Coturnix japonica: one gene and its partners. The protein of the gene in region 2 purifies or fractionates together with the protein of the main gene of each other region. This does not show direct contact. Links are inferred from orthologs where the notes say so. Each region holds a gene or a part of one and is shown on either strand. Other genes may lie near its edges.

Region 1 (7,816 bases), on a different chromosome or scaffold from region 2:
TACGAGGTCTTGCATCTTGATCTCATTAGTCCCATGTGACCTAATCAGTGCTCAGTGGATCAGTTCAGCCCTTGAGAAAAGTCTGCAGACTGGTCAGACTGGTTCAAATGTACTGAATGTTTGAAACAGTTATACTACCTAGGGATGTACTCTACTGTCAGTACTTCCTATGTGAGGTATGCTTGTCATTCCAGAAGCAGCAAAATATATTTTCAGACAATATTCCTAAGAATTCTACTGTATAAACACACTTCAGTCTCTTTGTCCTTCCCTACAGCTCTTCAGTTAATATAGAAGTCTTAGCTGTAAATACAGCAGTCCTAACTAATTACACATTAAAATCCTTCTAGAGGTAATACTGACTTTATTAGTCAAGTATATGACCTTGTTTTATTTTCACTTTCATGCAAAGAAAACAGTTGAGATGAGAAACAAATGACTGAGTTGTTGTGCTCTTCCTTCTCACCTAAGTCTACACTGTGCGTATCTTTTCCTCGCAGGATGACCAGGTTGGCAATGGAAGTATTGAAATGCAGCAGCTTGTTTATGGAATGACTGGAGGAGATGGAGGAGCCTGGACATGGTGGCCGTACTTGCCAATCGATACCTACAAGATTTTTGCAAACAAGATATAAAACAAAGTTAATGTTTCATGAAATATGGATTCAGACTAACTCTATGTCCCAAGCTGAGTTCACACTAGGGTTTGTAGTTTCTGCATGTTGGCTAAGCAGTAATTACACAATTCTAAGAGGAAAATCAAGCTTGGCCAGCAGTGTTTTCCTGGTAGTCACTAATCTTAGCAGAGAAACTGATACTTTTTTTTCTATAGTTAGCAATCTGCCAGCCCATTCTTTGCATACGTGGAAGCTTTGCTGAATTCTCAATGTAAATGATATCGGAAAGCTGAGCATATGATTTTTATTAGTAGGTGTACCAAGAAAAAGCATAGCAAAACAAATGATTCAAAAGATGTTCCAAATTGAATCATGTAAATTAAGTGCACGACCAAAAACTGTCGTTTTGCATATTTCAATAGTTATAATTAACTGAGATGTCTGGGAGCAAAAACATGAGCAAGCCAAGAGTGGCAGCTGAGTGAATAGTGCAGAAGCAGCTGGCTATGTGGAGGCAAATTCCTGCTGTCTGAGGGCAGCAGCTTGCTTCTGAACAGAGCGACTGAAGTCAGTGAGCACCACAAAACAGTAAGCTTTATTTCAGCTGTAAAGAGGGATACTTAAAGAGTGATGGATGAATGAGTGCTTCTTACCTTCCTCCATTTTAGCGTTAGCAATGAGCATTTGCCTCAGATGTTTGAGGAGCCCAGGCCAACTGAATGTGCTATATGCGAGGGAGTTTTCAGGCATCTGAGGTATGTTACGGAGACCCAACATCTTGAATTCAGGGTGTGGAACTAACGTCTCCATTAAGTCTCCTGAAAAATAAATAGAAATGACAGATGCTCATGTTTGATAGAAATATTGCATAGGCTACTTAAAAAAGGAGAAGAGCATGAGGAATTTTAGAGAGATCTAGTAACTTAAGGTAAGAAAGCAGAATATGTACAGTTTAACAAATACACAGACGCATCTGACAAAATGCAAAGATTTACAACCTGCCACTGAGTTTCATACAAGCAAGTTAACAGCTCTTATTTTCCAATTTAGACTTGTCCTCCTTTGAATCTGACTCAAATCTTAAAGACCTTCTATACTTCTGAAGAGATGGAAAGGAAAATGAGAGCTTCATTTTACAAGCAGATTCTTGGCAAGCCAGCTGCTTGCTGCTACCAAGTTGCATGCTAGTGTATCTTCTGAGCTAAACACAAAACTAGCATTTTGTTTGTACAAACTTCTAATGTTAAATGTTAAAACTCAGTCTAAAATTACTGCCTGGCAGAAATTTCCTCTGAAAGGTAAGTAAGTACAAGGGGGGTAGTCATTTGAAAAAGGAGGAACATGAGTCTTTTGGTAAAGAATGAAACCAGAAGCTGGGTGTCTATTTTCGACTCTGTTATAAAATTAGGGTTGAATTACTAACTTAGTCTTTTGCTTTCCTATCTTTTTTTACCATCTTAAGCCTTGGGTTATATCCAGATACTTGAGTAAAAGAGACTGAAGAACTTAAATTCCCAAAAATGAAATGATTACAGAAAGATGTGTGAGAAAGCCTTAAGTATCTATAGTACAGTTAGATACCTAAGGGGTTTCTGCTGTAGTGTAAGCCAGATTCTGCTGTGTGAGCAGGCTGGAAAACACTCCCCAGTTGATGTGCAATGACTTGATTTACATCCCTGAAGGAGATGTGTTTAATATGCATCAGCTGAGCACAGATCTTGTGGATGACATCATTTTCATGAACAAGAAGAGCATCTGATGACTGATACAGATGTGACAGAGTCAAAACAGAGTTGTAGTTTTGAACAATGACCTGGAAAAAGGAAAAAGAAAACCAAACAAATGAGAGTCAAACCACTTGATCTCTTTCTACATTTTAATATATTACTATGGCTACTGTCATTTACTCAGTTGTGCTTAAGGAAGTGATTCATTTTCTTTGCCAAAGGGCAGAATAAGGTCAGGAGCTGGCACAGTTTTTTCATGGAAATGGAGCAAGACCTATGAAAATCATGTTACTCATCTCAGTTCAGAATGAAACCTGTCTGGGAACTGATTGCCATGCTCTGATACTGTCATAACAGGAGATTTCTAGATAGCTAGTAGAGCTTCTCATGAAACTGCATTATATCATAGTGCTTTTATAAGTAGATTTTAAATGTTTTCTTACAAGCTTGAGATATCCATGATTTTTAGATGAATTTGAACATTTTGATTAAAAATGAGACAACACATGCCAAATATGAGGCAAACAAATTGCTTTGCATCATGTTGAATGTTCAAAGAATAAAGTGTTTCTCTTTTCTAGTTTATTTCAGTTGCAGATATTTTGTTTTACTCATAAAAAGCAAACCGTTTATTTAAGTTTCCTGTCCTCTGTGATCACAATTGTAATCTTGCAAAATATCTCTGGGAAAAATGACATTCACCTCACCAGTGCCATAGGGCCAGATAACGTGGTTTAGTATAAACGAGGTTGGAAAAGCATCTCTTAAACACTGAGTCACAAATGCTCCTAGGCCAGAACCTGTACCACCAGCCATGCTCATTATTGTGAAAAATCCACTGAGTCGATCACATTTCTCTACTTCTTTTTGTACCAGATTCATGATTACTTCTTTGTTTCTAGGCCCATGAACAGAGTAACTGTAGAATAAAGAAAAAAAAATTGCAGGTGATGTAGAGGCAGTAAGGTCAGCCTATTTATAAAGGCTACTTTTATTTGTATTATGGATATAACTTGGCATTGTGTCACTCATTCTACTTGTAGTAAATAATCCTCAGCTGTGGCATTTATTTTGCAAAACAGCTGTTTATAACCTATTGTTAAACATATTCTAAACCATTACATTATCCCTGTAAATACCAATTTCAGTTTACAAAAAGCAGCGTAGTAATGTTGCTGCTGTATGTACTGTTTCTCTACCTTAAGTTGTTAAACAATGTTTCCCATACAGCTGCAACAGTATCACTCCTAGAGAGCACAGACAGTTCATATCCCCTGCACTTCTGCTAGTGAAGCTGGAAATGATGATTCATACCCATTTGCCCAGTTGTTCCCGGACCCTTGTTTCTGACAGAAGTGTGACTGATCATCGTATTTCCAGTGGCCAGACCGGGCAGCTATTGATAAAGTTTGGCTGATTACTTTAGGTTCCATGTCAACAAGCACAGCCCGGGCAACAGGTACTGTATAAGGAAGAGAAATGAAACTAAGTGCTGATATAACAACTAGTTTATGTGAGATAGACAGACTTGCATCATGGCCCAACTTGTATTCCATCCACCCACATAAGCTCAACTAGAACAGAAAACAGGATGTGGCAATGTCCTGGATTTCTAGAAAACCACGGATAATACTAAAGATAGATCCAAATAACAGGGACATGGATATTTTGGGAAAGAAATGTCTCAATTTGTTTGATAACACTAGATTCAAACAGTCTAGGCCCTACTCAGCGGTGCTATCTGCCTACAGCAGGAAAAGCAGATGTTTGGAAGAGCAGATCATTTATGCATACACGTCCTGTCTCCAGCTCTGTTACTGGCAGATGTGCTCTGGGGCCTCAGTTACTCTACCAGCTGTGACTTTGCTTCTGTAGTTGTAAGCAGTGTCAGGAAGGCAGAAGGTTGGGACAGTTCTTCCAGACTGAAGGTAGAACTTGGATGGTGTCAGTACCAGGCAGGAAAACAGACCCTCTGTGGGACACAGAACACCTAAAGGCTGTATCCTCTGTGGGACACAGAACACCTAAAGGCTGTATCCTCTGTGGGACACAGAGCACCTAAAGGCTGTACCTCCAGACTCTGCCTCGCTGAAAAACCGTTCTGTACAGGCATGGTGGTAGGCTTCGTTCTCCTTCTTGGAACACAATCCATGCGTGCCACGGACATCACCACAGATGGTGTTAAACACCTCCTGACCTATTTGGTTACCACACTGCCCAAGCTGGACTGTGACTATTGACATTCTAATTCACCTCGTGTTTGGCCCTAAACAAAAGAAAAGCACGATGGGGGGTTAAAAAACCGATGTTACAAAGGTTCTCTCCCCGCACAGGCCGCTCCCGCCCCCCTGGCGCTGACAGGGCCCCTCACAGCGCCGCGATCTCCCGCCCGCTCCCCACAGCCGCCATATTGTCGGGCCGCCCCTCACGTCTCTCGGCCGCCCTTCCCCTCCCAGCTCCTTCCTCCTCGCCGTTCCCTCCCTCCCCGACCTCTCATCAGGTCGATGCCGGCTCAGGGGGGTGGGTTGGGCGGGTTCCACACACTATGGCCCCTCCTCAAGGCTGACGAGCCCCCTGCCCGCCGCGCCTCACTGGGGGCAGCCCGCAGTGCGCATGCTCAGAGGGAACTCGGCGCAGTTCGGGCACAAGCGTCGGGCTGCGGCGCTTCACAGCGCGCACTACGCATGCGTTACGCACGCGGCTTCGCTGCGCAATCTACGCAAACTCCGTACCGGGAGCGAGGGAGGTGGGCTCATATTGCGCATGCTCAGCTTCAGCTCTACGCCCGCCGCCCGGCCGAGGCCCTCGCCGCGCATGCTCAGTGCGGCACCTGCCGCCGCAGGATGGGCTTGTGCGCACGCGCGGCGCCCGCAGCCGGGGCGGGGGCGCATGCGCAGTGAGGCCGGGCGGCCGTGATGGCGGCCGTGGCGGAGTTGGGGGGTGCGGGCCCATGAGGCGGCCCAGGCCTCGGGCACTCAGCGCAGCGAGGAAGGGGCGGCCACGCCTCGGCTCACACCCGCGCCATGGCGGGCGTGTTCGACATCGATCTGGACCAGCCCGAGGACGCGGGTTCGGATGAGGAGCTGGAGGAGGGGGTGAGAGAGGAGAGACCGACCGGAGCGGGGAGCGGGCGGGTGGGGGAGGCCGCAGGGAGGAGCGGAGACAGGGGGAGGAATGAGGGGGCGGCGGGGCTGGACGGGGCGGCTGTAGGCGGCTGTAGGCGGCCAGAGCGGCTGAGGCGAAGAGAGGCGGAGGCCCAGGCCCGGGCCCGCGCAGGTGAGGCCGCGCCCCGCCCCGGCTGCGGCCCGTCGAGCTCCGGCCCGTCCCTGCGGTGCTTCCATCGGTACCTCCGCTGCACCGCTCGCTAATAGCGGCCTTGTTCCGGCGGAGAGTTTTACCCTGAAATGTTCGCGGTGGGTTTTGTAGCACGAGCGTGGCAGCGGGGTTTGGTGTCACATGTGGGGACGTCAGTGCGGCTGTGCTCTCGTCTCTCTGGAGCTGCGTGCAGGCATCGCTCTGGCGCCAAAATCAAAAGCAAAGCTTTGAAATGCTGTCCGGGGTCTGAGCGTGTCCCCACATGGGTCACTCCGTCATCTGTATTTATTCTTCTATCATACTCATTTAGATGCTTTTAAGGCCCCTTCGGGTATCCTCTTGCGTGGTCGCTGTTAGTATCTAGTGTTATTTATGTTAGCTCTAGTGCTACCGTTGCTTTTATATGTTGTTGTATATATTAAATGTTTGCTAGTGCTTAAGCTGCTGCATTCCTGCTATGCTATTTGAATACCAGTCATTGGGATTAGCAGACACCCCAAAGTACAGCTGCAATATCACACTGCATGTGAGCTGCAGAGTCTGCTGGCTGAAGGCAGGGCAGTGCTCAGGCTGTGGGAGAAATGCTGTCTGCTATCCCAATAATCAATACAGGACCTGGCTTACAAACGTCGGTTGCAACACAGCACCTGCATTGCCAAGAACAGGTTCTAAGAGTAGCACAAAAATCCTTGTGGCCCAGCTTCTGTGCACAGTGGCAACCTAATGCAGTACTTAGGTGCCTCTGGGGAGATTAGGGTGGACTTGAAATTAAAACAGAACTGGGGAGAGGGGAACATGTGAGCGTGAGGAAAGTGTGAGTAAAAGGTGTTTTTTTGTAGTGATTGTGCGTATCTTAGAAGGATCTGAAGGACACTGAAATTCATCTGGGAACGCGATGGGTGTTTATTCTGTTTGTTGAGTTGGTGGCTGTTTTGAATTTGTTCCTTGTTGTCTCATGGTTGGGTCAAGGGCACATTTAGCTGGTTCTGTTGTGAAACAGATGGCAGGGGGCTGGGTTTCTCTAATAAACACTAGCAAGGGGATGTGAGCAAGCAAACCTCTGTCCTGGAATCAGACTCGAACTTCATTCAGGATTCTGGCTGTGGATTCCAGGCTGTAGATTTGAAGCTGTTCATCACTGACTCGCAGTTGCTGTTTTATGTATATATTTTTAAAACTGAAAATGTAACCTGTCACAGTCTGAAGTTTGTTAGAAGCTTGCCCATTAAATTCTATTTGTATTCCTTCCAGCTGTCTGCTTGCTTTGCACTTCTGCCATGTAGAGCCACATTTAGAGCGAGGTATTATCTTGCATTAGGGGTCCAGCTGAAAATTGTTTGAAGAAAATATGCCTTCAAAATTGAACTGCATTCTTTAATGGCGTCTGGTCCTGCTGTTGAAGTGCTTGAGCCTTTTTAGAAATATTTGTGCATTAATCTGCCTGAATGATTGTTGATCAGAAAATACATACAGGACCAGAGTGTGTTATTACTACTGGGCTATGATTACCACCAGACCTCCTGCATCAGAATTTAAGCTATGTGGAAGCGTTGCAACTCTTGGACTGTATTTTTTAGGCTTGTTGTCTTCTGCTCATAATTAATGATTCTTGATATTTAAACTTGTTTAGTTATATATACATAAACATATATGTGTGTGCACATGTAACAGAAACTATATGTGTAAACATATTCACACATGTAAAGAAGCTGTAAAAGACATGTATTTTTAACTATGCTTTCTTATGTTGCATTTAATCTTCCTTCTACTCCTGTCCCCAGGGTCAATTAAGTGAGAGCATGGACCACGGAGGAGTTGGCCAATATGACCTGTAAGTTGCTACTAAGAAAATGTTCTGTACCATTCATGCCAACTACGTATAGCCTCTACTTTGGTTACATTGTTAAGTTGAATAGGAAATTTTGTCATTCTTGTTCAGTTTGAGTTGCTTTAGTTCTTTTGCTATTTCTTCACATTAAAGTTTGTGACTGTATGTAAAAATAATAATAAAACAAATTCTGGCAAAACCTGCTGTTGTCTTTAATCCTTGTTTCTCCTAACATAGCTGTTGTGTTGTATTTGAATAATACTTGCAGTATGAGTGTAGTGCCCTCTTTGCAGAACATTCTGTGTTCTGTCGGGCTTATAGAGGCTCTG
Region 2 (7,124 bases):
AGGGATAGAAAGGAGATGATAGAAGCTGGTTTTGTGAACAGGGAGAAGAAAATATTTGCTGCTTATTTGCTTCAAAAGTGGGTTAGTCAAAGGAGACAGCTGTTGGTGGGAGCTTTGTAAAGGAGGGTTCTCAAGCAGGAGGTTTCCTTTGGGAGTTATTAAGTCTGCTGAGAAAACCCTGGGATGTTGAGCCTGACAAATAGCCCTTCTCTTCAAGGATTCCCAGCTGGTGGCCGGAGTTGCCTTTAAGAAGACATTCTCTTACGCTGGGTTTGAAATGCAGCCCAAGAAGTATCAGTCTCCCAAGATTGCTTTGCTGAATGTGGAGCTGGAGCTCAAAGCTGAAAAGGACAACGCTGAAGTCCGAGTAAACACAGTGGAGGTAAGAGCTGGAATGGGAGCCTGTCCCCCTCCTGTTTGTCTCCTGGGCTGTCAAGGAGCTGGGCACTCTGTGATTGCCATCTGCACATCTTCCCTCCTGAGGTTATCTTGTGTGTTATGCTGGGGGAATAGTATGAATATTGCTACCTTTTACTCAAGTCATCCAGCCCCTTTATATCCTTGGTTCTGCTGCTGGAAGCACTTGAACAGATGTAGTTCTTTGTCATAGAATGACCTAAAATTTCCTTGAGAAAGCAGTTGGCTGCTGTGGATGGCTGCGTGGAGCAGCATTACTGCTGCCTTTGCTTTAGCAGAGCTCTCCCTTGGCTGGTGCTGTGGGGTGGCATTTGCAGTCCCATTACAAATCCTATTAATGTGTATTGCCTGTTTTTCTCATGCCTGCTAGGATTACCAGGCCATCGTGGATGCTGAATGGAACATCCTGTATGACAAACTAGACAAAATCCATAAGTCTGGAGCCAAAGTCGTCCTGTCCAAGCTGCCCATCGGTGATGTGGCCACCCAGTACTTTGCAGACAGGGACATGTTTTGTGCTGGCCGTGTCCCAGAGGAAGATCTCAAGCGAACTATGATGGTGAGCTGCTTTGTTTTGGCATAAAGACTTTGGATTTAGCTTGAATGTTGTCAGGCTGGTCAGGCCTCTCCCAAACCAAAACAGCCACGAGTTGCTGAACACACTGTTCCTTACAAGGATGTAAAAAGGAAAATAACACTCATTTTTTTTAATGTATTTTTTGCCCAAATGATGATGATGTAGAACTGCAACATAGTAACAAAACTATTCCTTGGTGGAAGAAATAACTGCAGGCTGATTGCTACTGTGCTGCCTTTTTTCCTCTGCTGCTGAATTGTATAAGGGTCTGTATGTTGTGTGTTGGTAGAAGTTTATTTTCCCTGCTCCTTGCCTGTTTTCCTTAAGCCACCTTTGTGTAGCTACTGAACTCTGGAGCCTGTGGCTCAGCTTTTAGTAACATCATCATCTTTTGCTGTCGAGGGTTATTTCTATTCCTGGTAGCCTGCTTAGATATATGATGGGAGGAAACTAGAAAGTGGGAGCCTGCTGGGCAGGTTTGTCTCATTTGTCAGCACTGGTAATGCCACGCTTTATCTTCTTCCCCTGCAGGCCTGTGGTGGTTCCATTCAGACCAGTGTGAATGCCCTGTCAGATGATGTACTGGGCCGGTGTGAGCTCTTTGAGGAGACTCAGATCGGAGGAGACAGGTAAATGTGCCAGCTGGGAACACACAGCCCTGTGGGAGCATGGGTGATACTGGTTTGGAAAGTTGGGGTATGAGCGTGAGCAGCTTTGAGCATCTCTCTGGGTGATGGTGTGAAAACAAAGGTTGCATGATTAATTCCTTTAATGAGCATGGGGAATGAGCTCTCATTTAGGTCTTACCCCTTTTAGATGCATTTATGTTTCTTTATTCCTCAAGAACCCTGTAGAAGGCTTAGTGGTATTTTCATTCGTAACTCCAAAGCAACACCTTTTTGGGGTCTTGTATATGGACTTGCTCAGCTTTGGATCTTATGGGGTCACTGTGGGGTGGGACAGCTGCAGCCATGCATTTGGGTTGGGAATAATTTCTCTGTCCCCGTGTGGTGTCCCAGTGGTGCTGAGCCTGTTGAGGAGCAGCACTGCTTTTCAGTCTCCTTACCCTTTCTTGTGTCACGCATTGACAGGTATAACTTCTTCACGGGCTGCCCAAAGGCAAAGACTTGCACGATAATCCTGCGTGGAGGTGCAGAGCAGTTCATGGAAGAGACAGAACGGTCCCTGCATGATGCCATCATGATAGTCAGGAGAGCTATCAAGGTAAGGGCCAGCAGAAGCAATTCCCTGCTGGGGTTGAGCAGACACTGAGGCTGTTGATCACACCCGGCACAGCTGCAGCTATTTCCAGCAGTGCCTTCACACCTCAACGTTTGGCTGAGGTCTCTCTGAGAGAAACCCAATGCTCTCAGCCTGCAGAGTGGAGCATGCAGACAAGCAGTGTCTAGTTGATTAACTCAAGTGCTATTCCTTGGCTACGGCAGAATTCTCACAGCTGCATTGCCAGCTGCTTTTCAGGCATGCCTGGTTTTGTCTCCTCTGTTACAAGTGCTGTGACTTAACTGTGCTTGCTGGGTTGTGGTGTGTTCTATAAACACCTTCACTAAGAAGGGGGTTGGGATCTTTTGGGAGTGCTGGGTGGGAATAGCAGGGCTGATCTAATGTGCCTGTTAGCTTCTCAGTCTCATGTGTGCCTGTTCATGCTGCATGTTGCCTCTGTTGGTGACTTCTGGGAAGGGCTGGTGTTGGCAGGTGGAGGTGGGCAGGTGACACCAAGAGGGAAGCCTGAGGCCCATGTGACTGTACTGTACTTGCAGAGTTGCTGGTCCTGCATGATGGCTGTTCTCTGCATGTGGGTATTTCTGGGTTGTGCGTAATGCGTGGGGATGGGTTTTTTTTTCCCCCTTAAGCCTGAGTGCCCTGAGGGGATGGGAAGAAGCATGTCAAGATTTTTTGGAGCTGCTTTGCTTTCAGAAAGAACATCCTGATCCTTTCTACTGAAGCAGATAGGGAGGGAGAAAAAAATAGTTAGCAGAACTTGGCTGCTGAGTGCTGCTGCAAATCTCGTCTGTTCTGAATGTTTCACAACGGGGGGGAGCTTGTCCTGCACAAGGGTAGCTGAGGTTTGCTAGCACAGCCCTGCACACCATCCCCCTGGCTTGCAGGTGGCAGGAAGGAGCTGCTGGCAGAGGCTGCCTGAGGTGCTCCCAGGGGGGTGGTGGTGGCCTGGGCAGTATAGATTCCCCTGGGCCTGATGTATGTGCATTACCCCAGCATGCTGTAGGCCTTTGGGAAAAGGGGTTTTCCTGCTCTTCCCCCTTTTGTGCAACAAAGAGTAAGCACAGCCTGTTCTCTTTCCTTCCAGAACGACTCTGTTGTCGCTGGTGGCGGTGCAATAGAGATGGAGCTCTCCAAATACCTCCGTGACTATTCCAGGACCATTCCAGGCAAGCAGCAGCTGCTGATAGGTGCTTATGCTAAAGCCCTTGAGATCATTCCCCGCCAGCTCTGTGACAACGCTGGCTTTGATGCCACCAACATACTGAACAAGCTGCGAGCCAAGCATGCACAGGTAGGTGCACGGCTGGCAGGGAGAGCCTGCAGAGCTGGTGTCCTTTGGTTGGGTTTGTGGTGGGCTCCTGTCCTCCTTCATTAAATGCCGTGGTTTGTTTTCAGATACAGTGTAGGCTTGAGGCAGGTTTCTATAAAAGGAAGTGATATGTTTTCCCTTTGATCACAGCTGTCGGATGACTTTTTTAGAGCTGGGAGTTCTGATTTGCTATTTAAAAATGCATCGTTTGTCAGGAGGGAGGCTTCTATATTAAACATTGAGGTAATTAGTATAAAAGTTACCTCTGTGATGTGTTTTCTAGAGGAGCTGCAGACTGAAGGTCCTGATTGCTTGAGATCGTTGTCTCTTCATGAAGGTCTTCTCTATGAAGAAACGTTGAGGGAACTGAGTTTGTTTAGGTCGGAGAAGAGAGGGCTTTGGGGAGACCTTATTGTGGCCTTCCAGTACTTGAAGGGAGTGTATCAACAGGAGGGGGGATGGCTGTTTATGAGTGACAGGACAAGGGGAATGGTTTTAAACTGAGATGGGAGAGTTTAGGTTGGACATTAGAAGGAAGTTTTCCACCCAGAGGGTGGTGACGCACTGGAACAGGTTGCCCAAGGAGGCTGTGGATGCCCCATCCCTGCAGGCATTCAAGGCCAGGCTGGATGTGGCTCTGGGCAGCCTGGTCTGCTGGTTGGTGACCCTGCCCACAGCAGGGGGTTGAAACCAGGTCATTACTATGATTCAGGTGAGCTGCAAGACAGTCATGAGGTCTTCTACAACTTCTTGGTGAAGTGGAGCAAACTTCCCATTTTAAGCACTGTTTTCTAACAACTGAGGCTTCATCCCCTATTATAAAGGAAGAAAACTCAGGGAGAATACCTCAAGCTCTTCTCCCTGCCTCTCCTTGAATGTTTGCATGTCTTTTACTTCCCAGTGCACTGCCTTCAGCTCCTGTTATGCCATGTAACCAGACCCTCTTCCCTCCTCTCTCACAGGGAGGCATGTGGTACGGTGTGGATGTGAACAACGAGGACATCGCCGATAACTTTGAGGCCTGTGTATGGGAGCCGGCCATTGTGCGCATCAACGCGCTGACGGCTGCCTCCGAGGCCGCCTGTCTTATTGTGTCAGTAGATGAAACAATCAAGAACCCTCGATCCACAGTAGATGCCCCACCTGGTGGCCGGGGTCGGGGTCGGGGCAGACCCCACAACCACTGAAACTCTGCTCTGTGGCACTGTCCTGACAGGGCTTGGCGCTCGCTTCCAACGTGCAGATTGGGAAAGAGTTGGTTCCTAGTTTTAATTAAGAGGCCGTTTACCAGATGGTCATTTTGAGGGCTTGCAGGTAACCTCTGGCCTTGTTTAATTAGAGTCAAATCTTGGCGTTGGCAGTGGCAGCCTCCTGTGAGGTGTCGTGGTCCAGCCCTTCCTGCACAGCACTGATGCCCTGAGGCTCACCTCGTGCTGATCAGAGCCCTCTCCAACACTGGTGGGTGTGCCTGGGCTTGGTTGGTATTTATACGTCTTTCTGCTGGGGGTTTTGAACCCAGGTTCAAACTCAATAAAACTATGGCAGAGTTTTGGTGGCCGGTTTGGGTTCTTTTCTGAGGTGGGAGCTTGTTTGGGTAGCTTGCAAACTGTTTTCTACCCTGTAATTAAAACTCAGGGTGTTGGGAAGCAGGACTGACTCCCAGTGCATAACAGTGTTTCTAACACAGCTCATCTCTACGTTTGTTCATAGAGTCACTGAATCATTCAGGTTGGAAAAAACCTCTTGAGATTCCCAGTCCATCCACCTGTGCTCTCTGACCATGTCCCCAAGTGCCACATGCTTGTGATTCTGGAAAACCTCTATGGACAGTGACCCCCTTCCCCACTCCCTGAGCATCCAGTGCTTGTTCCAAGAAGAAATGTGCCTAATTCCAACCTGAATGTCCCCTTGTGTAACTTAACCCCACCACCTATTAGGAGAAGAGACCATCCCCACCTCCCACAACCTTCCCATTTACATCTATTTGATGCTGGTCAGTGCTATTTCAGTTCACTTCATGAGCTCTGTAACAGAGATGGTGCCCTCAACAGAAAGGGAGCTGGGAGGAGGACTTGGCCTTCCTGGTTTGTTGCTGAGCGCTCAGGGTGTGCACTGATCTGTGGCTCACTGTGCCACCCATGTGAACCAAGACCCCCCCTCCTCATTCATGAGTGCCTTTATTCAACGCCGAACGATAAAATAGCTCTTTACACCCTTCTTTTTTTCTTCTTTTTTTTTTTTCCTGTAATTCTTTAAATACACATTGTTTACACTCGGCAAAGTTTCAAAGCAACAACATCAAAGTGCGTCTACAGGTGATAGTACCAACCAAAGTGCTAAAACCACGGTCTGCTGCAGCAGCTCCTTGGGGGTCACCTCCTGCTGCCCCCAAGGTCACCCTCGTGTCCCCTCCTCCAGCATTGGGGTCAGGGTGACCATGGGATGGGGGATAGGGACGTTTGGTTCTCCAGACACTGGCACATCGCTGCGAAAGACTAAAATAGACCTAGATTTATTATATAGAGTTAAAAAAATAACTTAAGAGGCCAACTCGCTACCTTCCAGGAGGGGACACGCTGTGCAGAGCGCCTTGGACACGGCTCTCCAGGGCTGAGTTGCCACTAGGAGAAATGCTTGAGGGAAACGATTGCCATTCTGGGGATATACCTATCTGGGAGTGTGTCCTCTGATTATCTCAAAGCAATGTGCGTTGCTGCCTCACTCCCCAGAGCAATCCCACCCACTCCTACCATTGCACATGCCTGTCCCCGGCCCCAGCCTGGGGCTGGATCAGAAAACCCCATTTTCCTGCTTCTGGGCAGTTCTCTCATCTCTTTGCTGCCTTGTGGCAGTCATTCGTTGCCACTGTTCTCTTCATGCTACCATCCTGCTGCGCTTTGGTTTGCAACAAGCCATTTCCAGCTGCTAACATCACCCTGCTCCCCGTTCTTTAGTTCTTTTTAAAGCATTTTGTCATTTGGCACCGGCTCCCAAATGCTTCACTCCACCCGAACCTGCAGGTTTTCAACCCAAAATGATCACACACAAGCTCCCACGTTGCCAACTTCATCTTGGCTCCTCTTAGAGCTGAAAGAACTGCATTGAGAGGAGCCTTCATCAACATTTCTCGTGGCTATTTTTGGTTTGTTTAAACCTAATTCAGACCTTTTTGGCCACGTAATTCCTGTGCCTTGCGACCTGTGAGCCCTGTCAACGTATGGGATGTTTTTCCTTTGCTACCTGCCTTGTTTGCTTGATCGTTGAAATCCTTGGATGGAACCAACCCAGCTATGGCTCCGTGCTGCCAGTTCTTTGATGGGTGCACACAAAACCCAACACATGAGGGAGGCAGAAAAACATGGATTTGGGATGGATTTGCCCCCCAAACTTTGCTGGTGTTGTTCCTCTTGAGACCCCTGTCCAGCCCCAAAGTTCAGGAGAGGGAGAATGCTGCTAATGTTGGCTATGGAAGAACTTTGGGCAAGAAAAGAAAGCAAGCTCCTCCAAACTCTGGGAAGCTGCCAGGACTCCAAGCTAAAGCTGATCACTGCCTTTTCTTGCCCTGGGCCTCTGGATTTG
Region 3 (7,819 bases), on a different chromosome or scaffold from region 2:
CTGGGTCATCACCTTCTGCTCTGCAGGGGTGGCTGCATCAGGTTCTGCAGCAACTTCTCAAACTGCACGTCTCACTGCAGTCGTCCATCTCATCTCTGCTGTCCTACCAGCCCTGGCATCTGCTGTTCTTTTTGAATAAAAAGGAAAAGCCTGCACCAGAGACACAGGTTTAAAGGCCCCAGGCAGCACCTACACAAATACTCCCATCCACGGTGCTGCAGATGTTAAACTCATTTCACTATCGTACCCATGTGTGTATTTTGGTGTCTCACCAAGCTGCCAGCCCCAGATCTCCCACCTACTCAGTGCTGCCAGGGCTATTACCTTCAATGAGAGCCAAGCCCACTTCTGCCAGAGCTGCTCATTTCCCCCAAGGTTAGGACAAGGCAGAAGGAAGACACTTATTCATTTTTACATTTTCTTCTATTACAGAGTTCAGAAAGGCTGGCACCAGCCCATCTTGCTCCCATCTGTCAGCACAGACAGCTGGCCTGAAGAACTGGTCCGGGTTAAAACTAACTATTGTATTTTCCCCACCTCCAGAGTAGTTTTAACTTTACTCAGTTCCCTGCTCTGGATCTCGGTTTGACAATGCAAAAAATGAGGCAGGGAAAGGCCGAGTGTGGCAGGAGAGAGGCAGCACCAGGCAAACCAGCATCATCCCCAGGCAGCCAAGTCAACACCTCTTCCTACCCAGGGTCTGGCTCTTGCAGGATGCACTGTGCTAACACCAAGCTGCTCTGTCCCCAGGCTGGAGTCCAGGATGTCATCAGACATTAATATAATCCTCCAGCTCCTGCAGCGCCAGCTGTCCCAAGTGCCACCCGCATACAGCCCCATTTCACCATCCTCTCACAACCTGGCCATGTATGGCATCGTCCCACGGAGCCTGGAGCCGCTCACCCCCTGTGCACCTCTGGAGGATGAGCAGCAGATGGCCCCAGGGCAGGTAAGGACATTCCTCATGGCTTAGCACCTTCTGGGCTTCCTTTTGCCTCCAGCTGAGGGCCAGTGGTCCTCTCCAGCCTCCTTGTGTGTAAAGCACAGCTAAGTTCCTTTGGGTCCAGGCAGATCCCAGTGGTCTCAAAGCAGGAGGTCTGCCTGGAGATGCTTCTGCCCAGTGCATCACTGATTTGTGGGCACAGGTTACCCAGTCAGTAAGGAGAGGGATGGATTCCTCTGCTCTGAGGCTTTCCAAGCAAAAAAATAACATGTGGGGGACCGATGGGGTGAGAAGAGTGCTTGCCTACTTTGTTTTGCTTTTGTCATAACCCACCTGTGGTTCCTCTTTTCCTATCAGAGCCCAAGCTACACGGAGGTAGAAAAGTTCCACTTGAAATCCAGGGACTCCTTGTCGAGTGGGCTGCACCTCACTGTGGCATCTGATGAAACCATGACGGTCTATTCTGAGCAGGAGCATCACTCCCCACCTCTCCTGAACCCAGAGCCTCCCCACCAAAGGGCACCAAACACCCAGGGACTCTTGCGGGGCTCACGTTTCCCTTCCCTCCCTGAGCACTTGGAGGCATCTTCCGAGCACCAGGACATTCAGAGACACCTCTCCGACCCAGTTCTTCCTGGAAGTTAGAGACATGGGGGCTGCAAAGCAAGTCAAGAGGAACCTCAACTGTGAGCTCGGTCAGTTGATGTTGATTTTGACTGCAGGGGTAAGACAGTGGACAATGCCATTGGCTCAGGGGTCTAATTTGTAACTGTCTTCTGCCACCATGAAAGGAAGCATAGCGTGGCTGGTTTCCAAGATCAACATTTTCCAGCGGTTCCCATAGAGTAGATTTAATTTGCACATTCTAGTGAACCCAGAGCAGTTCTTTCTTATGGCCACCAACAGGCTGGCTAGGCCAAACAGCACCCATCACCTCTTCCTTGCCGAGGCTTCCTCTCGAGAACAGCACAAGCCCAGTGAGCCACAGCATCCAGAGGGGAGCAATTGCACAGCTTCCAGCTGCAAGGCCATTTTGCTGTCAGCTCTTTGGAGCAGGGACCATTGTGTTGGTACTGGGCCTTGCCCAGTAGAGTCCGTGGGCACTATGAAAGAGTATTCACTGGAGGAGGAGGAGAGCTCCACAGTGCAGTACTGGGGAGAGCTGCAGGTGGGAAGCCCAGGACAAGGACAGATGCTCTCCCTGTCCTACCTGATGGCCACCGAGACACTAAGGGCCAACAACCCCTTCCACTTCAGCACGCTTCAGCACGAGTCCTAGGGCACTGACTTCTCCAGCAAGGCCAACTGCACCTTGCAAACCCCAACACACATCCCACAAATCCCTATATGAACCTGACTGGTCATCGACCTGGACATAAAGCACAAAACACAAAAGCACAATCCCGAAAAGCTGCAAAGTCCTAGTCACTTCAAGTCCAGTCCTTTCTCCCAGCTTCTCTCTTTTGATAAAGGTTTGATAGATGCTTCCTCCTCCTCAGCCCTTTTCCTGGCAGAATCCCGCAGCATCCCATAGGAGAAGCCCACTTAGCACTGCTGCCTTGCCATTCGGTTAGATGCTGTGACCGTCCTAGGCCGCCTGCTCAAGTAACATATTGAGCTCCCTTTGAGAGTAGTAAAACTGTGAGCATCTCTTTCTCTGGAGTTTTAGTGTACACTTTGCTAATAAAGATGTTTTTGGCACCTGATGTGAGTTATAGCTGTGTTTGTAAGGAGGATCACCACGGGAAGCACAGAGCAAGATGCTGACCTGTAAAGAGACCTGAAAGTCACTGAGAATCCTCATCCTCATCCCCATCCCCATCCCCATCCCCCCCAGGCAGGGCATAGATGTGCCTCTCCCCAGCTGATCTTTGGATGGAAACCCCCCCCATCCCGCAGCCCCCATCCCACAAAGCTACTATTTATATCCAAGCCGGCTCAGGTTTCAGCTCCTTGCAGCAGCTGGGACATCTCATCCCCCTTTCATGCCCCAGCCCAGATTGTCAGGAGGCCTCGGGGCTTTATGAGCAGCTGGGGGAGCGCCCATAATCCGAGCTGGGTCTGGGGTCTCCATGGGTCTTAATGGGAAGGGCTAGAGCCAGGCACCGGGCTTCAGCATGCCCAGGCGTTTCGTGAGAAGCAGTGCACAGCTCTGGGTACTACTCAACGCCGCTGCGTACAATTAGAAACGAAACCCCATAATTAAACGTCATGTAATTGTAGATAAGCTCATCTCCACCCGCTACTCGGAGAAGACGGGACTCGAACTCGCGACACAACTGAAAGCCCGGCTGGCTGCCCTTAACTGCCTCGGGTTCAGGTTGATTAGCACCGCTTCCATCCAATCGGATTTCAATATGGGGCGCAAGAACCCGCCTCCCGCCACTGCGACCCCCGGGAGCCAATCAGGTGTCGAGAAGGAGCGCGGCCTCCCTTCTCAGGCGTGTTCAAACTCAACGGTAGGTTATACAGGCAAGGAGGCGGGCTCTCTTTGTTATTGATGGTCAAAGTAACCAATACAAGCCTGAATTCGGCCAAACAGACAGGAGTAGCACCCAATAGAACCAATAGAAGTGTTAATTGACAATCAACACAGCCAACCAGCACGCAGAGGGCGGGGCTAATCGCGTGGCTTCCGCTCCCGTTGTGTGAGGGCCGAATCGGGAACGGCCTTCGCGCTTCTCTCGCGGTGTCCGGGCTCTGGAGCCGGGCCTGGGGGCGCGGCCTGCCCCGGTCTCTCTCCGGTCCCCGCTCCTTGGCCTTCCCCTCGGCTGGGCCCAGCGCTCCAAGCTCAGTCCAGGCCCCATCTCAGCTGAGCCCGCTGCTTGCTCCCCTCAGGCCCAGCGGGGCCCCCTCGGCCGAGCCATGTCGCTGCACGGCAAAAGGAAGGAGATCTACAAATACGAGGCGCCATGGACCGTGTACGCCATGAACTGGAGCGTGAGGCCGGACAAGAGGTTCCGTCTGGCGTTGGGCAGCTTCGTAGAGGAGTATAACAACAAGGTGGGCAGGGGGCGAGCCGGGGATGTGCCCCTCCGTAACAGGGGGTTGGGGGGCTGCAGGGAGCTGAGCTACGGGCTCTGTATTGGAGGCCGAGGGTTGGGGTTGGTGGTGCTGCTGCTCCTCAGGCAGGAGCTTTGACTTGAATGTGTGAGGTTGTTATTCAGCGTGACAGGAAGCTCACGGCCTGGGCTCGAGTTTGTACATACATAAGCTGTATGGGACTCTGTTAGTAATAGTGTGCTCTTGTCATGATGCTGTGTTTGTAAACTGCTCTCACCGGCTCCTTTGCTTATCTCTGATGACGAGGTTGTGTCTTTAGTCTTTCCTTCTATATCTAAGCAGGGAGGCTTACGCCCTTCAGACACCTGAGCCATCCTTCCTCAGCAACCTTTAATACACTCATCTCATGCGATGAACACGAATGGCAGAGAGAGATGAGGAAACAGACATAGCTGTAGAGCATCCTGGAGTCTGTGTGCAGCTAACAGTGCTGCCAAAGTAGTTCTGTGCATTTATATCATGTGTGCTTTGAAGCTTTGTCAGGCTGCTTAATGGAGAAAATTGTTTCAGAAGTTGGTGTTTTGGATTGGGCTTTGAGGTGAGGTGATGGTAAGGCAAGACTGGCATCTCTTACAGCAGCTAAACGAGTGCCCTTGCTGCAGCCCTGGATGGGATGCTCCTATGTGAGCCAATGACCTGGAAGGGAACTTACTCCCAGAAGAGGAGTAAACTCTTTGAAAGGGCTGACAATAGCAGGACACGGGGAAATGGTTTTAAGTTAAAAGAAGGAAGATTTAGGTTGGATGTTAGGGGGAAGTTCTTTACTAGGAGAGTGGTTCGGCCCTGGAACAGGCTGCCCAGGGAGGTTGTGGATGCCCCGTCCTTGGAGGTGTTCAAGACCAGGTTGGACGGGGCCATGGGCAACCTGATCTAGTAAAGGTGTACGTATGGTGGCCCTGCTAGGCAGGGGGGTTGGAACTACATGATCCTTGAGGTTCCTTCCAACCCGGATCATTCTGTGATTCTGTGAATTGCTGGTGAGCATTATGTGGTTCTGGGAATGCTGCTTTCCAGGCAGGTCTGAGCTTGCTGACTTTTCATTTGTTTAAAGACTAACTCCATCATGTTTTCTGTAGGTTGCGCTCTGAGAAGCAAAAGTAACAACCTTCCAAACGTGTTTTTTTGTTTAGGAGTGGTGGAACTTGTTAATTAGGGGTATGTTTCTGTTGCGTTTACATCCTTCTGTTTGGATCATTCCCTGGGGGTTGCTCCCAATTACAATGTGATCAGGTCTGCTTTTCATTTCAGGCTTCAAGTATATAAAGGCAGTTGAGTCAGCAACTCTTTCTATTTAAGAAAACAACAGCAACAACTCCCAGACTGAAAACTTTACACTCCTAGTTGCTGCAAACAGGAATTGTGCGGTACTGCATTAACTCCAGCTGTTTGTGAATAACCCCCTGAGCTTCTTTTGGTCTCTGTGCTTCGGGAATGGCTTGTTGTGTTGACTTCAGGTCCATATAAGCACCAAATGGTATGAGATTTAATTAGGGTATAAAGCAAGAAAGTAATTGTATGAGAATGGGGATTCCAGCCTGGATGCTGCTGCTACAAAAGTGAAGATATGTTCTTTACTTCTATTTTATACTGGCAACTTCTGACATCAAAATACACACAGTAGCACCAACTGGAAGGAAAATGGAAGTGATAATGGAAGCTCTCTTCCACTTTAACTCTCTCTTTGTGTTTTGAAGGCTTTTGATGGCTCCAAATGTCATTTCTGTTCTGTCCTTGCAGTGTTTTGTTCTAAGGAACTGGCTTCTTTCCTTCCCCCTGGAAGACCAGTTCAGAGTAGCAATTCTAGGTTTCTTAACATCTAACCAAATAAGTGGCTGTATCTCTTCCTCATTACCCTCCCATGTGCATTTTTAAAATGGTTCTTAGTGCATTAAATCTTTTCTAATTGCTGCAGCAGAAGCTCCTGGTTATTTTTCTGTTCCTGTAGTAATTACCAGAGCTCGAAATACTTAAGGTTTCATACATAAGATGGCTGTTTACACCTCTGTTTTGGGTGGATTCAGCTCAGTCAGCTGCCAAGCCATGACTTATTGCTGCCCCCAGCTCCCAGACTCTTGGAACCTCTGTCAGCTCTCCCACTAACAAGCTGTATGACATACAAGAAAGCTGATTGCTGAGATCTCTTTGAACCCCAAAGGAGTTTTGTTTCAGCTCCTACACCTGTGCTCATCAAATCACTGGTACAGAAAGAGAGATGACTTTGCTCCAGGGGAAAGGACTAAAATTATTCAGGCTAGGCTTTCCTGAGCTTCTTGAATCAGCAAACTGCTGTCAGGCTTCAGAATGCCTCATGGATCACAGGCGTAATAGCAGGGAGCTGAGGTGTTTGTACGTTCTGCTGTTAATGCTGCTTTGCAGGCTTTGTGGATCAGTAATGATCTGTGGAAAACAAGGAGAGGTTGATTTCAGGATCTGTCTGTAAGGCAGAACTCAAATCTGCTTCAGAAGGAAGCAGTGCTGCACCCTGTTCAGAGCAGGCTGCTGGGTTATGGCTGCATGCTTCCCCTGCTGTCACCTTCTGCATCATGCCTTCAATCAGAGAGCATCCAGTGGGGCAGTTTGACCAGGGAGCTGTTGTTGCTCTAAACCTGTGAGGTTTAGAACTTGCAAGCAAAAATGGTATGTTGCAGATTAAATGGTATGGCGAGAGCTGTCTCACCTAAAATAATTAGGGAATGTCATCTTTTGGATCATGGGGAAGAGAGTTTTTCAAACTGCTGATTAAAGGCACTTTTTTACTTATGTGCAGTGTTGCAAATCAACCTCATGTTAATAAGGTTCCAGATGTGATAGGAAAATCCACCTCCAGTTGCAACCGATCTCGGTGTGTAGGAGGAACAGATAATTATGTGGCATTTCTGGCTACTGTCACAGCATAATTGCAAATCCAATGGAGATTGAACACCCTCATTTTCCCACCAGAATGAGTTACAGGTAGATGTAGAAGGTTTAGATTGTATCATGACTAACAGTTCCTTTCCTCAGTCTTAGCTGGCCTAGACTTCAATTCCCAGCAACAGAAGTGAGTTCTCTGCTGCTTTAGATTTGCTTTGGTTATGGCTGTGTAATATTATGTTGAGCTGAAAACAGCATAAGCAAAGGAAAAGAAATGATTAGAAGTCTCTTGTCTTCTGATTCTGTCCTTGCCACAAGGTTTTCTGTGACCAAGGACAATTTGCTTCCTTTGTAAAATCTGCTTAGGATTTCTGATCCCTAAAGGAGTTAGAAAGCTTCAGAAGGCTGGGAGACACTTGGCGGGTTCATACGATTGCGTGAAGCATAATAAGGAGTAGCTGTAATGAAAAGAGTGCAAGGCAGACATCCAGCTAAGCTTCTAAAAACAGCCTGTATGTTTTCTAGGGGTCATTACAGCGTCAGAGAGATGCATCTTCAGTTTGACAAGGGAAAGGCTGGCATTTGTAAGGAGCATCTCTAAATGGACTTGGAACTGCTGATGTTACAATGGAAGGTCTGCTGAAGGACTTGTCTTGTTGGTAGATACAGTAGAGTTCCAGACTAGTTTAAACGTAGGTTATTAACCATATTGCTAATTGGAGAATATGTAGGAATTGTGCAGATAAACACCTTAGAATGAGTCTGTTAAGCCACAGCCTCCAGGAGGAAGCCACTGCATGGAAAGCTTACAAACTAATTGTAGTGGGTTGTCCTCTTTCAGTTTGTGTTTGGACAGCATTGAACACAGTGGGGCTTTCATCCTGTTTAGGTCTTGCAGTCAGTGCTGGGGTAAACGTGTCCTCCCAGTCTGTATTGTTCTCTGAACACTCTCTAACATGT
Region 4 (7,876 bases), on a different chromosome or scaffold from region 2:
TCCAATCCAAAATAAGCACACAGCTCAGTGTCAGAAGAGCTGTAATTCAGGAAAGGAAGAGATAGAGCTGAACTAAGACTTCAGTCATTACTTCTTTACCTTGAAGAGCTCTACACACCGCCCACACTCTCCACCCAGCATCTACACAGGGCAGGCTAACAGAAGGCCAAATTCAGTGCCATGCTGTAACTCACCATGTTTAAGATCAATTATTTATACTAACACACTCAAACCATTACACTTTAGGCCAGATCATATTTTATGCTTTAAAATAAAGTGTCAGCAGTTTATTAATAAAATAACAACAACAGACTTTAGTATCTACCAATACCTGTATTTTAAAACTTGGAGTAAGATTTACTCAGGCTCTGTAATACAAAAAGTCTTTTACAATCTCAAGTGAAGGTGCCTTGAAATGCTCCCCTTCTGGGGTTCAGGAAGATCTTGATGAGCACCTCCAGTCCTTTGGGCAGGAACACTGTCTGTAAGTGTATTGTATCAACCCCGATGCTGATGTAGGAGTTAGTCATCCTCTGAGTCACTCTCTCCCCTGGTTGGGACGCATGCCCTTATGGAGGACATGAGCTGGTCTTGGATCTGTTTCCTGGGGTTCTCCTCAAGGTCTGTCTTGATGGCACCTGACTCCGAGATCTTCCACTCCAGTTCTGCACAGAGCAAAGTAAGAGTGCCATGAATATGGGGAAGCAAACTAGGCTGATTTCCATCTCTGACTCCTTTTGATATATGCTTATTAATTTACCTCGACACACATTTCCTCACCTTTCTGATTTACTCTCAAAAGAGAAAAGGACATCAGATCTTGACAATACTCCTCAGTTCCTCCCAACTTGTTTCTCCAGATGGTTTCTCTTATCACCCTACCACGAACATCATCAAAACCAGGGCCATACTCTCTCCCTCTTTGTTGACAAGCCAACAAGTATCCCTTTACCTCTAATTAAGTCCAGGAATTGCATCAGTTCCACTTACTTTCCAACAGGTAGGGCCTTTTCCATTGCACAACTGTCTCCAAGCACAACTTTATGATACTATTCCCTGCCAACCTGCAAACCACAGCTTTCTAAGTACCTTTACATTGGCCTACACTTGCTGCTTTTAAAATATCACTTCAATCATGTGTTGTTGAGCCAAAAGGTGGGGAGGGAAGATAACGATTATCATCATGCAGCTCTTAGTGATCTCCATTCTCCTTATTCTCACATAACTTCTTTAGTTTCCCACAAAGATATTCACAGCAGATGGATGCAGACACTCACCATCCCTCGTCAAGTTCATGCCACCGAACACCAAAGGCCCAATGAACTGAGCTCTGATGTCTCCTTCAAGGTAGACAAATATCGTAGGCAGATTCTTGTCGGGGTAGTTGGGTATGCAGGTGGTAGAGATAGCTTTGATGAATTTCACATCTCTGAACTTTTTTGCAAGTCCACTTAAATGTTGGTTTATTAAGGCACAGAGTGGAATTCTGCCAAGAACAGACAGAGACACACATAAGAACTAAAAAAGACTCATCTGATAGCAATCTTCTCCAGAAGACAAACCAGTCAGAAATAACAGTTCAGTGGGAAGATCAATGTACCAGAAACAACCTCTGACTACTTCTGTTGTTCAATACTCCAGCATCCAAATAAACTTAGTACCACTAAGTAAACTTAGTGTGGTTTATCTTTGGTTTGTTTGTTCATTTTAATTGCTTTAATTGCTCGTTTTTAATTAAGATACCAGCAGCATCACTTCATGGTAACATCCTTTTAACAGCAAAGCTCAACTCTCTTGAAGCCAACAGAAAGCAAATTACTAGTAACTCCCTTAACTCCACATTGAGTTCCTCAGTTTCCACGTTAACTACACGTTTGTCAGGAGCCAAGAAAGGTTTAGAGGTTAAATAAGATCTTACCCCTGTTTGTAGAGGTGCAGGACTACCCATATGCCTTTCCCAGCTTTTGTAACCTCTTGAACATAATCCTTTCCAGAAATCTCCAAAACTTCTCCAAATTTATTCTTCATTTGAGCCGCTTTCATTTCTGCTAATCTTTGCTGTCTGGAACAACAAAGAATGGGAAAGAGATCTTAAAAATAGATACATTAAAAGTATCTGGCTGAAACTTAGAGGCAGGTTACAAACACGTTGAAACTCCAAAGTGATAAAAGCAAGTTGAAGTAGGCTACAGACATTGTTATATTTGCACCACATATTCAATCTATCAATATGCAGCAAATACAGTTGTGCTCCATGAAAGGAATTTGATGTTTCCTCTGCAGATGCTATGCTATGAAGCCGGACGGTAGAAATAACAAGAGATACACAAGCAAAATAAGAAAGATTTCAATAAAGCAAGTTCCACACGATGCTCTAACCTGTACATTTCAATAGCTCTCTCATCTTCCTCATTAAATTCATCCTCATTTTCTTCTAGCTCCTCCAGAGTCATGTCCTCATATGTTTTCACTAGAAAAGAAGCAGTATCATATCAGCAAGTATCTCATTCTGGGAACAAAACTCATCAGCCTTTCAGTCGAACAGAATTTAGGTATGAGACATGTTTTTTTTTCCCCTCCAACATTACACTACCTTTTCAGATAACATTATGTACTCTATACATATAGATGTAAAGACAACGGTGATTCTAAGCCAAAGGCTGGCTACACTGATACGTAAATACCACAGCTAGCTTTCAAGCTCTGTGACTTCAGCACAAACATACAATACAGCAGGGATGGCTGAATAATGGAGTACACATACAATGTTTGTGAGGTGTTTTATCTGTACATTCATATGACATACTCCTCTGAGACAGTTCTTGTTTTAATTGTATATGTTTCAAAATCATGGAGTTGTCATCAAGAAGAGAGTCTTCCTGCTCTGGAAGAGGCCATATATTCTGGAACGTATTTGTCTGATACTGTTAACAGACACATCGCCCTGCAGAAGAATTAGCTCAGGTATCCAGTCAGGGGGGTTGGAACTTCATGATACTTGAGGTCCCTTCCAACCCAGGTCATTCTGTGACTTTGTGATCCCTCACAGGTTAAGAAGAGGACACGTTGCTTCACAGGCACATGGGCTCACCCAGAGACTTCTGAAGGATTTCAAACTGCTCTTCTTCCTTTGCACGCTCCTGCTCTTCTCGGTTTTCCTTCGGAGGAAGGATCCCTTTCTTACGCAGGATGTCATTCCACTCAGTGTCTTTCTCTGGGTCCTACAGTAAAACAAGAAATGGATGACTGGTATTTAGGAGAGCTTTGGTACGTTCAAGCAAGACATAGCACAGTGATGAAGTGTAACCATCTGGATGCGGACAACATCATAAAGTCACAGCACACATTCTCCTGACACCAAGGCTTCCCAAGACACACTACTTGTGCACTAAGGGCTCTTCAACACTCACAGAATCACAGAATTGTAGGGGTTGGAAGGGACCTCTAGAGATCTCCAACCCCCTGCAAAGCAGCTCCTACACCACTCCACACGATGAGGCGTCCAGGCGGGTCTGAATATCTCCAGAGAAGGAGACCCACCACCTCCCTGGCAGCCTGTTTCCAGGCTCACCCTCACTGTAAAGAAGTTCTTCCGCACATTCATGCGGAACTTCCTATGCTGTACTTTCATCCCATTACCCCTAGTCCTGTCCCCACGCACTACTGAAAAGAGACCAGCCTCACCACTATGGCTCCCACACCTCAGGTATTTATAAACCTGGATCAAATCCCCTCTCAGCCTTCTTTTCTCAAGGCTAAAATAGATGACTCCTGTCATCTATCAACACGCAGAAGTGCTTAAACCACGCACCCACCTGCTTACTTCAACAGCAAAACGCATACTGCCCTTTAAGAGACAAGAGCCCAACCCGGCGCCCCACAACGCCATGCACGGCCGCAGCCCAGCTCGGGGAGGAGCATCGGAAAGACCCGGGGCCGGCAGCCTATACGGCTCCGCACATCGCTCCACCAGGCTCCCCCGCGTTATGAGGCTGGGTCAAGGCCGGGCAAGGCCGCCACGACCCCCGGCTCTCACCTGCATCTTGCCTGCGGGACAGCGGCCTGCGGAGCGGCGGGGCTGGGCAGGGCCGGTCCCGGCGTGCGCGGCGCGGCGAGGCGGGGCTGGCGGACGGGGCGGGGCGAGGGCGGTGTCGCCACTGCCGCTTCCCGGAGCCTAATAAGCGCCTAATAAGGCAGGGCCTGCCGTCAGTTCGGTATAGGCCCGATTGGGGGCTCGGTTCCTTCTGCTGTGGTGATGCTGAGCCTGTGACAGACAGCTACAGACCGTGGGTTTCTGAGGGATTCTCGTCTGCCTGTTGCAAGCGAGCTGTGTGAAAATCCAGACAGTCCTTTCCAAATGAGAGAGAAAGGAGTGAAATCCAGCAGTTCAGGGCTGTGATCACTGACCTGAGGTGCCCGACCACCCTCTGGTGATACCTAGATAGTCACTTTGAGTCACATTGAGATTGATAGCCACAGCTGCAGTTGACAGTGATCATTAAAATGAATATTTGGATGCATGGAATGTGTCCTATAGCCCTGGAGGATTGGAACACTCAATGTTTATGTGCACCATATGTCCATCATTGTGGAAGCTGGGGTTGTCTAAGTGGTGAATATCTTCTCTGGAGATATTCAAGACCCGCCTGGACGCCTACCTGTGCAATGTGGTGTAGGGAACCTGCTTTGGCAGGGGGGTTGGACTCGATGATCTCTAGAGGTCCCTTCTGACCCCTACAATTCTGTGATTCTGTGAATCTACTGCAGGCCCTCTCTATAAATCACAGTATTTTAGTTCTGACCCACAGTTAACACCCGGCAAGCAGAATAGAAGGCTTAATTGTTTCCATAGCTTTCAGTGTACAAATGTTTTGTTGGGGCCTGAGCTTTAAGAGGGCCCTTGCTGGTTAAATATTCATCTTCTGAAGCTGAAAATACCATTCACATGCATGGTTCTTGCACATTGCTCTTGGAACCTGTTTTGGGCACCTAGAAACAACTACAAAAAGGGCATAAGCAGAAAGAGTACACTCATTATTTACAAGGTGAATGAAAAGAGTTCCTGCCCTGACCCCAAGCACCAGAAGCCCATATTTTCAGATTAAGCTGTGAGTTACCAGAGAAGCTCACACCTAGAAGCATCCCCTTCACATCACTTCAGGTGCTGAAGGGCCTCCTCTGCCTAAGGCACCCACAGTACTCTGCTTCCTCCCCACACACAACTTGATTAAAACTCACATTTCCTCTATATACTTATCTAAAGCCTTAGCAGGAAAGTGAGGATTAATTTTTACACGTGGTACATGAACAGAAACATTCCATCCCCAACAACTAAGAGCTGATATTATCACAAAGACTGAGCTACAGGTGTAGTTTAGCCCTTGAAGACAACTTGGGCTTCCACGCCCCCTCCAAGAAGGATTTACCTCAGGGTGTCTGTATTTCTTCCTTTTCCCTCCAATCAAGTGTTTGGAGGAAGATGAGCCACATGTGGGAATGACTCATTAATTGTCCAGGTGAGCCCACTAATGGGGAGAAAATCTTGCTCATAAAAGGCACTGCTCCAGGCTAAGGGAAATGGGTTCCTGAGGATTGTTTGTCTTTGACTGTGGCCTATAGCAAAGTGAAGATTAGGCTACAACAGCTCTTTGGAAGGTAACAGGATATCTTTTTTTCTTCTCTGATGCTTAGGGAAAAAGTTGGGGTTACTTTGTAGAGAAACTGTGAGTGTAGCATAGTATATCTGCAGTGTAAGCTATCAGAAAATGTTTGGTGGGGGTAATAAGCTTTGGCTTGGCTTAGGCTTTGTTATGGGGTGGGTTTTTTGTTTTGCTTCTTCCCTTTTAAACTTTATTCTGTTGTCTTGTAAATACTTAAGTTTTTCTTTTTAAAAGCTACACAAACTATATTAACCTAATAATAGATGTTCTTGTATATTATAAACAGTTGTGCTAGAAGTAGTATTTTAAGTCTGAGTAAATAAGAGAATTAAGTATGTTTTCTACTTTAACTGTGGATATTCTTTAGCTGGACTGAATTTCTTGATTAGAGTTCTAGTAAACTGACAGTAATATCTATGTTTATCATGTATGTTGTCAAAGTTAATTCATTCTCTCTGATGTAGAGTAGCCTCCATAGACTTATGGCAGTTACAGAATCTATTGTGGGATGAGTTTAGAGACTACAGTGGGCTGTGTGAGTGCTTGAGGTGTTGTATGTAATACAAATTCAGAAAATCTAATGTAATAACAGAAGTTTGAATGCAGAGTCCTGGAAAAAAGGGGTAGCCTTGGTCTTTAGCTAGTATTGAGGTAAGTTATTGTTTAAGACAAACCTTGTGTGAGGTCCTGCCTCCATCTTGCCTCAATCTCCAGTACACTCTAAATACTGAGAAACTTTTTTTTGAGCTCTTTGCATCTGCTTCAGTAAGTTTTACTGATTGCTTTTCAAACCACTCTGGCTCATTCAAAAACTGGCTGTTAAGTAGCAGTTATCCTAGATCTATTCTTAATGAACTTCAGTAGGTTGCTCTTCCTACAAGCTTTCTGCTTGGTATAGAAGAGTGGAAAGTGTAACTATCCTTGCTGTTATCTCCTCTTGTTATCAGTTACCTGTATCCAAAGCACCTGGGTAGTGTGAAAACCTCCAATTCTTTGTCTCTCTGTGCTATTTAGAATGTCTGGACGGGGGAAGAAACTTGCAGTGGCTGGCAAGCCTGAAGTTGCACCAAAGAAAGCAAAGTCAGTCCTGGCTGGTCTGCAGTTTCCTGTGGGTCGAGTCTACAGGCTCCTTAAGAGAAGCCACTATGCTGAAAGGATCAGCCCTGGTTCTGCAGTCTACATGGCTGCTGTGCTGGAATACCTGACTGCAGAGATCCTGGAGCTGGCAGGGAATGCTGCACGGGACAACAAGAAGGCCAGGATCCTGCCTCGACACATTCAGCTGGCTGTGAGGAATGATGATGAGCTGAGCAAGCTCTTCTCCTGTGTGACCATCGCTCAAGGAGGGGTTATGCCCAATATCCTTCCCCAGCTCCTTCCCAAGAGAACGCCCAAAAGTACTAATGTGTCTCAGGAACAGCCCGGTAGCCAGTGAAACTTGCTTTTTCTGGTCTGATCTATGCACTTATAATGGGACTCAGCTCTAATTTGTTTAATTCTTTGTAGTTTTTTCCACTGTTTTTATAATGTACTTTTAAAGATTGTAATAAAAGTTCCTGGAAAGCAACTCTGTTCTCCTTTCCACAGCTTCATTTCCACAGAGATGTGATTGCCTTGTCGTTTTCTTAATCTAGCATTCCACCCACATAACTTCTTAAATCTGCTTGTTTACTTCTATAATATGTTTCCAGGTAAAGGTTGTAGAGCAGGCAGAGGAATCAAGACATGTTCGTGTGAATGCTTATCATGAACTCAGTTAGTTCAGCACCTTGCAGGTTAATTCTGCATTAGGAATTGATTACCCTTTGCTTTAACACCTTACTGTTTGGGGAGCTGCAATGAGCTATCTCTTGCAGGAGACTAAACTACTCTCTTCTCCTTGTCATACTGACTACAGGGGGCATACTTAAACCTTGTGCTGTTGGTGGAGGTGATTTTCTTGCTTCTTTCTATTGGTGTGGAATAACTAAAGAAACTCCCAGGCCTTTGCTAACCAACTCATTGGAAGTGAAAGCTTTCCATTGAGAAGGTTCCTAGGCTTTTCTCTCTGTTTGTAGTGGATGTTGAGATTTGCTATTGAGTGGGAAAATGGGATCTGGCGCAAGTGTAGTGGGATCAGTCTGCCTTTGAGGTACTGCCTCACAGACTTCACAGCATCTCACAGAGAAGAGCTGGTTAGGACCATCTTACTAAACTACAAGCAGAGTGAAAACCTG

The links.
Region 1: the proteins of CCT7 (region 2) and TUBD1 purify together in Homo sapiens (co-immunoprecipitation; 3 studies listed by BioGRID and IntAct, counting the BioPlex papers as one, with this or other methods). This does not show direct contact. The link is inferred for Coturnix japonica from reciprocal best matches to the Homo sapiens genes CCT7 and TUBD1.
Region 3: the proteins of CCT7 (region 2) and DCAF7 purify together in Homo sapiens (affinity purification with mass spectrometry; 4 studies listed by BioGRID and IntAct, counting the BioPlex papers as one, with this or other methods). This does not show direct contact. The link is inferred for Coturnix japonica from reciprocal best matches to the Homo sapiens genes CCT7 and DCAF7.
Region 4: the proteins of CCT7 (region 2) and PDCL3 purify together in Homo sapiens (co-immunoprecipitation; 4 studies listed by BioGRID and IntAct, counting the BioPlex papers as one, with this or other methods). This does not show direct contact. The link is inferred for Coturnix japonica from reciprocal best matches to the Homo sapiens genes CCT7 and PDCL3.

What each region holds. Positions count from the first base shown.
Region 1 is NC_029534.1:6,129,850-6,137,665, forward strand, and holds the start of TUBD1 (tubulin delta chain), read right to left. Parts: upstream 4,996-7,816; 5' UTR 4,835-4,995; exon of another isoform or gene 4,774-4,834; intron 4,720-4,773; exon of another isoform or gene 4,704-4,719; intron 4,611-4,703; 5' UTR 4,588-4,610; coding exon 4,416-4,587; intron 4,317-4,415; exon of another isoform or gene 4,139-4,316; intron 3,807-4,138; coding exon 3,659-3,806; intron 3,264-3,658; coding exon 3,047-3,263; intron 2,431-3,046; coding exon 2,199-2,430; intron 1,436-2,198; coding exon 1,271-1,435; intron 608-1,270; coding exon 467-607; intron 1-466. Other genes in the region: RPS6KB1 (ribosomal protein S6 kinase beta-1), read left to right, coding at 5,368-5,439, 7,441-7,490. UniProt on the Homo sapiens protein: Acts as a positive regulator of hedgehog signaling and regulates ciliary function.
Region 2 is NC_029519.1:81,260,696-81,267,819, reverse strand, and holds the end of CCT7 (T-complex protein 1 subunit eta), read left to right. Parts: intron 1-217; coding exon 218-382; intron 383-787; coding exon 788-976; intron 977-1,525; coding exon 1,526-1,623; intron 1,624-2,085; coding exon 2,086-2,218; intron 2,219-3,320; coding exon 3,321-3,527; intron 3,528-4,507; coding exon 4,508-4,732; 3' UTR 4,733-5,096; downstream 5,097-7,124. UniProt on the Homo sapiens protein: Component of the chaperonin-containing T-complex (TRiC), a molecular chaperone complex that assists the folding of actin, tubulin and other proteins upon ATP hydrolysis.
Region 3 is NC_029542.1:2,155,857-2,163,675, forward strand, and holds the start of DCAF7 (DDB1- and CUL4-associated factor 7), read left to right. Parts: upstream 1-3,567; 5' UTR 3,568-3,808; coding exon 3,809-3,946; intron 3,947-7,819. UniProt on the Homo sapiens protein: Involved in craniofacial development. Acts upstream of the EDN1 pathway and is required for formation of the upper jaw equivalent, the palatoquadrate. The activity required for EDN1 pathway function differs between the first and second arches.
Region 4 is NC_029516.1:119,999,878-120,007,753, reverse strand, and holds PDCL3 (phosducin-like protein 3), read right to left. Parts: upstream 4,144-7,876; 5' UTR 4,043-4,143; coding exon 4,037-4,042; intron 3,222-4,036; coding exon 3,092-3,221; intron 2,471-3,091; coding exon 2,380-2,470; intron 2,063-2,379; coding exon 1,919-2,062; intron 1,487-1,918; coding exon 1,278-1,486; intron 666-1,277; coding exon 523-665; 3' UTR 256-522; downstream 1-255. Other genes in the region: histone H2A, sperm-like, read left to right, coding at 6,676-7,095. UniProt on the Homo sapiens protein: Acts as a chaperone for the angiogenic VEGF receptor KDR/VEGFR2, increasing its abundance by inhibiting its ubiquitination and degradation.